2 linked regions of the Macaca mulatta genome follow. The protein of the gene in region 2 purifies or fractionates together with the protein of the main gene of each other region. This does not show direct contact. Links are inferred from orthologs where the notes say so. Each region holds a gene or a part of one and is shown on either strand. Other genes may lie near its edges.

Evidence for each region.
Region 1: the proteins of NPC1 (region 2) and PON2 purify together in Homo sapiens (affinity purification with mass spectrometry; 3 studies listed by BioGRID and IntAct, with this or other methods). This does not show direct contact. The link is inferred for Macaca mulatta from reciprocal best matches to the Homo sapiens genes NPC1 and PON2.

Annotation. Positions count from the first base shown.
Region 1 is NC_133408.1:123,971,497-123,975,035, reverse strand, and holds part of PON2 (serum paraoxonase/arylesterase 2), read right to left. Parts: intron 2,325-3,539; coding exon 2,124-2,324; intron 1-2,123. UniProt on the Homo sapiens protein: Capable of hydrolyzing lactones and a number of aromatic carboxylic acid esters. Has antioxidant activity. Is not associated with high density lipoprotein.
Region 2 is NC_133423.1:68,847,819-68,851,642, reverse strand, and holds part of NPC1 (NPC intracellular cholesterol transporter 1), read right to left. Parts: intron 2,718-3,824; coding exon 2,644-2,717; intron 2,192-2,643; coding exon 1,770-2,191; intron 521-1,769; coding exon 294-520; intron 1-293. UniProt on the Homo sapiens protein: Intracellular cholesterol transporter which acts in concert with NPC2 and plays an important role in the egress of cholesterol from the endosomal/lysosomal compartment.

The sequences.
Region 1 (3,539 bases), on a different chromosome or scaffold from region 2:
GTCTAGAAATAGCTAACTTCTGAGGACACAGAAAGGCTCACCAAGGAAGGGGCATCTGCAGTGGCTATGTAAGGAGAGACGAGATTTGAGGAGATGAGGACGGAGGAGGCACTTTCCAGGCAGAAGCAAGCACAAGAGCAGAATCACAGGAGCAACAAGATGAAGGAATGTTTAAAACAATGAGTTCTTTGTCTAAAGCATAGAAAGCATGGAAACAGTAAAAAGGGAAGTTGGAGCTGGCCTATGAAAGTTCAACCCTTTACTCTGCCTTGATGTGAAAAGCAATTGGATTCCACTGAAATCTTAGAATAATAAAGTGGCAACAAATGGTCAGTTCTGTTCCACAATTCCTGAGCATTTGCTTTGTGCCTGGCACTGTGCTGGCATGAGGGGTCAAAGGTGAGGAAGACAGAGTTCCCCCTTTGGGGAGCCCTTCAAGGCTGATAGACATAGAAAGAAAAAATTGGCAAGAGTGCAAAAAATCCAAGTAGACAGAAAACAGATTGGAAGAAAGTCTCATATGCTAGTCAGAGAAGATAAGAACCTAAACTAGGCAGGTCTCAAAGGGAAAGGAGTTTGGGGGTAGAGGAAGGAGGCACAGGTAGAACCAACAGGACCTGCCTACAGGCTGGATAGGAATAGTGAAAGAGGAGTAAAAGCTGAATCCCCCTTTTCATTATTGTTATTTTTTTGTTAGATTGGGTGACTGGAAAGTTTGACTCTCATAATGGAAATATAAGAGTGAAAAACAGACTTGGCTGCAGAGGTTGGATCAGGTCAGTTAGAGACAATTTAAATTAAATGATTCCACATTCTTTTTCTATAGTCAACAAGAAAGGAGGAGAAACTGGATCACAAAAATAAGGGCATTTAGTTGTCAAGGGGTGCCAAATTTATTTTATGTTGTATTTGTAGTAGTTTAAATTTTTCAGTGTGCTGAGGCAGTAGATAAGAAAGCTAATAAAGAATTTAATATCTTCTCTTATAGGTTGTGGTTGCGCATATAAATATAATGAGATAATTTTGGAGGACAATTTGGCAATATCTATTAAAGTTAACATTTAAAAGAATCACACTCTTTGAGAAAATCGTTCTATTTCTAGGGGTCTGTTCTACAGAAAATTAGCTCATAGAACCATTTAGCCAGTGCCTTCAGTGGGATTTGAACCCAAGCCTGTATGAGTCAAAAATCTGCGAGTTTAACCATTATGTTTTAATACTCTCTTAGGGCTGGGTGCGGTGGCTTATGCCTGTAATCCCAGCACTTTGGGAGGCTGAGGTTGGCAGATCACCTGAGGTCGGAGGTTCGAGACTAGGAGACTAGCCTGACCAACATGGAGAAATCCCATCTCTATTAAAAATACAAAATTATCCAGGCATGGTGGCGCATGCCTGTAATCCCAGCTACTCGGGAGGCTGAGGCAGGAGGATCACTTGAACCCAGGAGGCAGAGGTTGCGGTGAGCTGAGATCACGCTATTGCACTCCAGCCTGGGCAATGGAGTGAGACTCCATCTCCAAAAAAAGAAAACCCTATCTTAGGGACTTTTCCTTTAAAAAAAAAATACCTGTTTAAACTTCCATGGTACATAAGAAGTATACAACTTTTTATGTAGAACTCCCCACCCCCATACACATATCCATCAATAGAGAATTGGTTAAATTAGTTTAAGATCATCCTTATAATGGAATAATATATATATAATGGAATATATAGCCAACAAAAATAATAACACATTTATTTGAAAGGAAATACCTGATACTTCAATATGTATGCATCAGTATGATCACACTTTAAAATTTATATTTATAAAATTAAATTTGACAATGATGTATTCCAAACTTTATATATTATATGTAAATACACATATATTATTGTATTATATAGTATACTTAAATATATGGTATTATATTTGCATATAAATAATGTGACTAAGTATGTATTATATGTAAATATATATACAAAATATACATAATTATATATATAGTGTATCTACATATTATATGTATAATACACCATAAATGTCAAGAAAACTATTTTCACATTGACAAAGAAAGCAAGGTAAAGAATTTGGCCAGCACCACAACTGAAGAAAAATGAAGATATTCTATAAGGGGCCGTACTTATTATCAGGTGAAATATTGATTCCATTTGCTGAATCAAATCCTTCTGCTACCACTTTAACTTCATTGGGACTGTAGTAAACAACATTTGCCCAGTGTAAGTTCAAGTATGTTTCTAAATACTTTAAGAAAGGATCAGAGAAGTAGTGGTCATTTGTGGCATAGAAATGTGCCGGTCCAACAGCTGTGATGTCATTCACACTGAAAAAGAAAAATAGCATGTGAGAGGAAATAAAAGGCCTGTTAGTCTCCATATTAAATATTAAATACTCATATGATTTACACAACATGTGCTTTAAATTTTTGGTAAGAGGAAAAGATGAGCTGAAATCACATGAATATATTCATATACAATATACTATAATATTGTTGCCAGAGAACCATTTTGTATGGTACCAGGTAATCTGAACACAGGTCATTTAGCAATTATGGCAGGATTACTATAAAAGAAGAGGGAACTTAGTGCCATCAAGGCATGTTTTTTGACAGCAAGAAATGTAGAGTTTAACAATTACATGTAAGGACAGAGCTGTCCACAGTACAGAGCTGGAGACAGCCTGATTGGCTGATGAGCTGGTTAGGCAGTCAGTAACCTTTACCTAGCTTCCATTCACTCAGTTCCTGGATTTTTCTAATTTCCCTTGCTTAGTTATTAGTCAAACTAAGGTTGACTGTTCAATTTCTACCTGCCTCACAAAGCTGACATGCCGAGAATGAATAGGCACTCAATAAACACCTGCAGAGAGATGGATGATGAAATTGCCATAGTACAATGCTTCAGGTGAGAGATTTATATGCTAAAAACAATTTCATTTTTAAGACCAGTTAGGTGAGGGTTTTATTAAATTTAAATTCCAATTACTCTATGCAAAAATTTCTGAAAGAGCTGCTTTATTCTTTGCTAAATGAAAAATACAGAGCTATGGGGAAGGTAGGTCTCCTTTTTCTAAAAGAGCACCATAATGCTTGGATGGTATGTATGCTCCTATTTTTTTTTATCAAGTGCATTTTTGGAAGGAATGATTGGAAGTTACATGCTTATGCCCTAGATAGGCATAGATAGGCCCTAGATAGGCAATATTTTTAATTTCATTAGAAATTAGAAATTTTTAATTTCATTAGAAATTTAAAATATTCATCGAGTTTAAAGTAAAAGAAGCCGTAGGCTAATATACACTGAACCGGGAGTAGGGGTACACATGATTCTCTTTTAGCCACATTTTCAACCAGCTTTATGTTCTTGAAGTGTAATGACCCACTCTCAACTTGAGTGGCCCTAATTCTGTGGGATTACTAACATGCAACCACCGCTAACCCTATGAAAGCAATTGGTATAAAGTCCCATGCAAAGCATACAAACCCAATAAAAAAGAGGCCACTCTTCCTTGGCAAGACACTCATCTGCGTGATAAGTCA
Region 2 (3,824 bases):
ACCTGTAGTCCTAGCTACTACTCAGGAGGCTGAGGTATGAGAATCGCTTGAACTCCGGAGGCAGAGGTTGCAGCGAGCCCAGACTGCGCCACTGCACTCTAGCCTGGGTGACACAGCAAGACCCTGTCTCAAAAAAAAAAAAAAAGAAAAAAAAAAAAGATGTAAGCTTCACAGGGCAAGGACTTGCTCTGTTTGCTCACCTCTGGGTTATGCTCATAAAACAAGCTTATGCCCATATACCCTAGGTCAGACCCAAGAATGCTGTCCACCAATGACTGTCTCTTGCCACTTACCGTACGCAGTACAGAAAGTGCGTGTGGTAATCGGCATACACAAAGAAGTCGTCCCCTTTCTTGTGATCCAGCACGGAATGGCTGTTCTGGAAGTAATTTAACACACTCATAATGGTGCAGTTCGTGTTATATGGTGAGAGCGGGGCCAAGCAGATGTCCTGAAGTGTCACAGTCTCATTGTTGTAAGAGGCAGTAATGTTTTCGATGGCTATTTGTAAGTCAAGAACCTGAAAGAAGATTTCAAAAATAAGCAAACCCAGAAACACATCACATTTCTCTCAGATCTTGACTAGTCAGTATTGCCCTGAGGGGTCAGAAGACAAAGAGTATTTGGGGAAAATACTTCCTAAGACGAGGGAGAGCATTAAGGCGCGATACATTAAGAGAACGGGTCAGGCCCACTCTAACAGCAAACTGGTTAGACGCGTCCACAGAGGCGGCAGGGGGTGGGGGACACCATGACCAGAACAGCTATCAACACAGGACACACAACCATCTCCCTCTACCCTGCTCCAGCAGTGGCCAGCAGGCCAGAGGGGAGAGCGGAGGGGTCTCCTGGTCTCCCTGACCCTCCCCTCAATAATAACACAAAACCTCCTGCCTTGCTCTGCACTACAGCCATTTACATGTGTCCCCTTATTTCCTAACATAGAAGATGATCTTGGAGGTAAATGACTATGCTGTTCACCTTCAGCAACAAGCTGGAAAAAGCAACAGACAGTCACCGGGTAGAGAAAAGATTCTATCCAAGTCTTAGGACCATTTTAATGCTTTTCAAGATTTCAGATTTTCTTGTAGACATGAGCAATGTTTAAAGGAAAAACCATGTGATTATACATTCATTAAAAAAGAAGCGGGTATAGTTTATGCACAGGTACAGTTCTCCAAGGCAAGTGTGACAGGGACAATGGGAAGGTTTACACGCCTTTCTAGGAGCAACAGGATGGATCTTGCCCCAAATGCACCTGTCACCAAAAACAGGCTGGGTGCCCACATTCAGGCAGTGATAAGTTCATTCCTACAGGTTGGATCAGGGATGGTGACCTGGCACCTCCTTCCTCAGCCCCCAGGACAGCAGTAAGGGCTTCATGCCTCTGGGTCCTTGCATATTACTTTCAGTTACCACCAGAAAACATTCGCAAACTCCTAAGGTGACTTCCTAATAAATACATCCCGCCTCAATAGACAAATGCCACTGAAGTCTTCTTTCTCTGCTCATCTCAATTTCAAGAAAAAGGCAAGATCTACTATCTGAAGTAAATACAAAAGTGAGCAGCAATAAATATTTTCATTAAGTTCTACATCATTCACTTTCTTTTAACCTAACTTAAAGGCAGCTTTGCCATTATATGCTAAAATTTTCAAGATATACTGTGACATTCAGCCCCAAATCCCCATCCAGCAGTAGTCAACATATAAAAGGCAGCAAACCACAAGGTCCTCTGGAGTGACTTATTTCTTCAAACAGCAGGTTACCTGGTGCAATATCTGTATGTCAAGCGGAGGTCCAAAGGGTACATCGGCTCCCGAAGGGTACGGCTGGTAAGTGTGTTTGTCAGTGAGAGGGGCCCGGATGATGAGCTGCTCCGTCCGGAAGAAAGGCCCAAAGTGCTGGTCAAAGTACTCCTTCTCCAGGCGAGCCTGGCTGCTGGGGGCTGACCAGAGGTCAATCGGATTGGTTGTGACCCGGACAAACACCAGGCCCGACGAACACACAGCAATGAAGACCAGCGAGAAGAAAATGACACAGCCAGGGTTTCGGACGCAGAAAGACCCCCAGCGTGTGAACAGCCGCCTCAAGCAGCCCTCAAAGGCTGCACTGACAGGGTCGCAGCAGGACGCCTCTCCTGGAAGAGCGGGAGAGGAAGGGAGGGTGGAGGTTAAGAGCCAAGCCATTCCTGAAAGTCGGAACAGGGAAAGCATTAGCTGCTGTCTCATGGCAGGAATCAAGCCCACCTGGGGATACATATGAGACCCCTGCCCTCAGCTATCTATCTGCTCAGCAAAGTCACCTTTATTGGCTGCCCTCAATGAGCGCTGTTCCCACCCCACAGATGAGACACCGACACAGGAGCCTCTGAAGGGTGAGGTTCAACCCTGCCCTGCTATTCCCACTCTTGTCCTGCTGCTTTCGCGCCTCCCCAGCTATGATTAATTACTTGGTTCTGCTGTGCCACCCTGACTAGATGGTAGGGCCACAAAGGCAAGGACTACGTCTGCCTTGGTCGCAGCCGTGTCCTCAGCACTAGCACTCCGCCTCATCCACTGCCGCAACCCCGCTGAGCAAACGAATACTCTCATGACAGACAGCATCATCTGAACCCTTTTATTCATGGACAAATATGCCTACCTTTGTCACTTGCATTAACAGAAAAAGCTATATTGCTATCGATGGGAGTGTACTCGGAGACAAAATACCGTTTTCTGAAAAACAGAAGAGAGGAAATAGTATTAGTGGACTTCATCACAATGAGGCTGTTGTTGGGACATTCCTGTAATCCCATGAAATGCTTTCTTCCTCCTCTTCGCCTCCTCCTCCCTAATTACTGCCTTCTTTCCCCTAAGTTTCCTTGCTCTGGGTGCCTCTGTTCACCAGTCTCAGGAGAAAACTTAAGAAGATATTAAAAGAACAGTTAATAAAGGATAATTTCACCTTGTGGCCCTCATTTTATTTAAAACTTTTAGGTCTTTTAAGAACACGCTACCGGGCCGGGCGCAGCGGCTCACGCCTGTAATCCCAGCACTTTGGGTGGCCAAGGTGGGCGGATCACGAGGTCAAGAGATCGAGACCAACCTGGCCAACAAAGTGAAACCCTGTCTCTACTAAAAATATAAAAAAGTTAGCTGTGTGTGGTGGTGTGTGCCTTGGGAGGCTGAGGCAGGAGAACTGCTTGAAACTGGGAGGCGGTGGTTGCAGTGAGCTGAGATGGCGCCACTGCATTCCAGCCTAGTGACAAAGACTCCATCCCAAACAAACAAACAAACAAACAAAAAACCACGCTACCCCTTCCAGTAGCAAAGAGCACACCTAGTGCGCAGATCTTCGTTTCTACATACCGCTCTTGAATAAAAGCAACCAGAGCTCCTGCAAGGCAGGGACAGGGAAAATATAAGATAAAGCTGGGGATGGGAGGTGTATGTAAGAACACAGAAGGCCGGGCGCGGTGGCTCACACCTGTAATCCCAGCACTTCGGGAGGCCGAGGTGAGCAGATCACGAGGTCAGGAGATGGAGACCATCCTGGCTAACATGGTGAAACCTGTCTCTACTAAAAATACAAAAAATTAGCCAGGCGCCTGTGGTCCCAGCTACTCGGGAGGCTGAGGCAGGAGAATGGCGTGAACCCAGGAGGCGGAGCTTGCAGTGAGCTGAGATCGCGCCACTGCACTCCAGCCTGGGTGAGAGCGACACTCTGTCTCAAAAAGAAGAACACAGAGGTCAGCCAGAAGCCACTCCCAATGGCCCAAACTGGAAAACTTTGAGTAACAAGATAAATGACAGTGTTGGATACAACCAACAGAATTGAAAGTC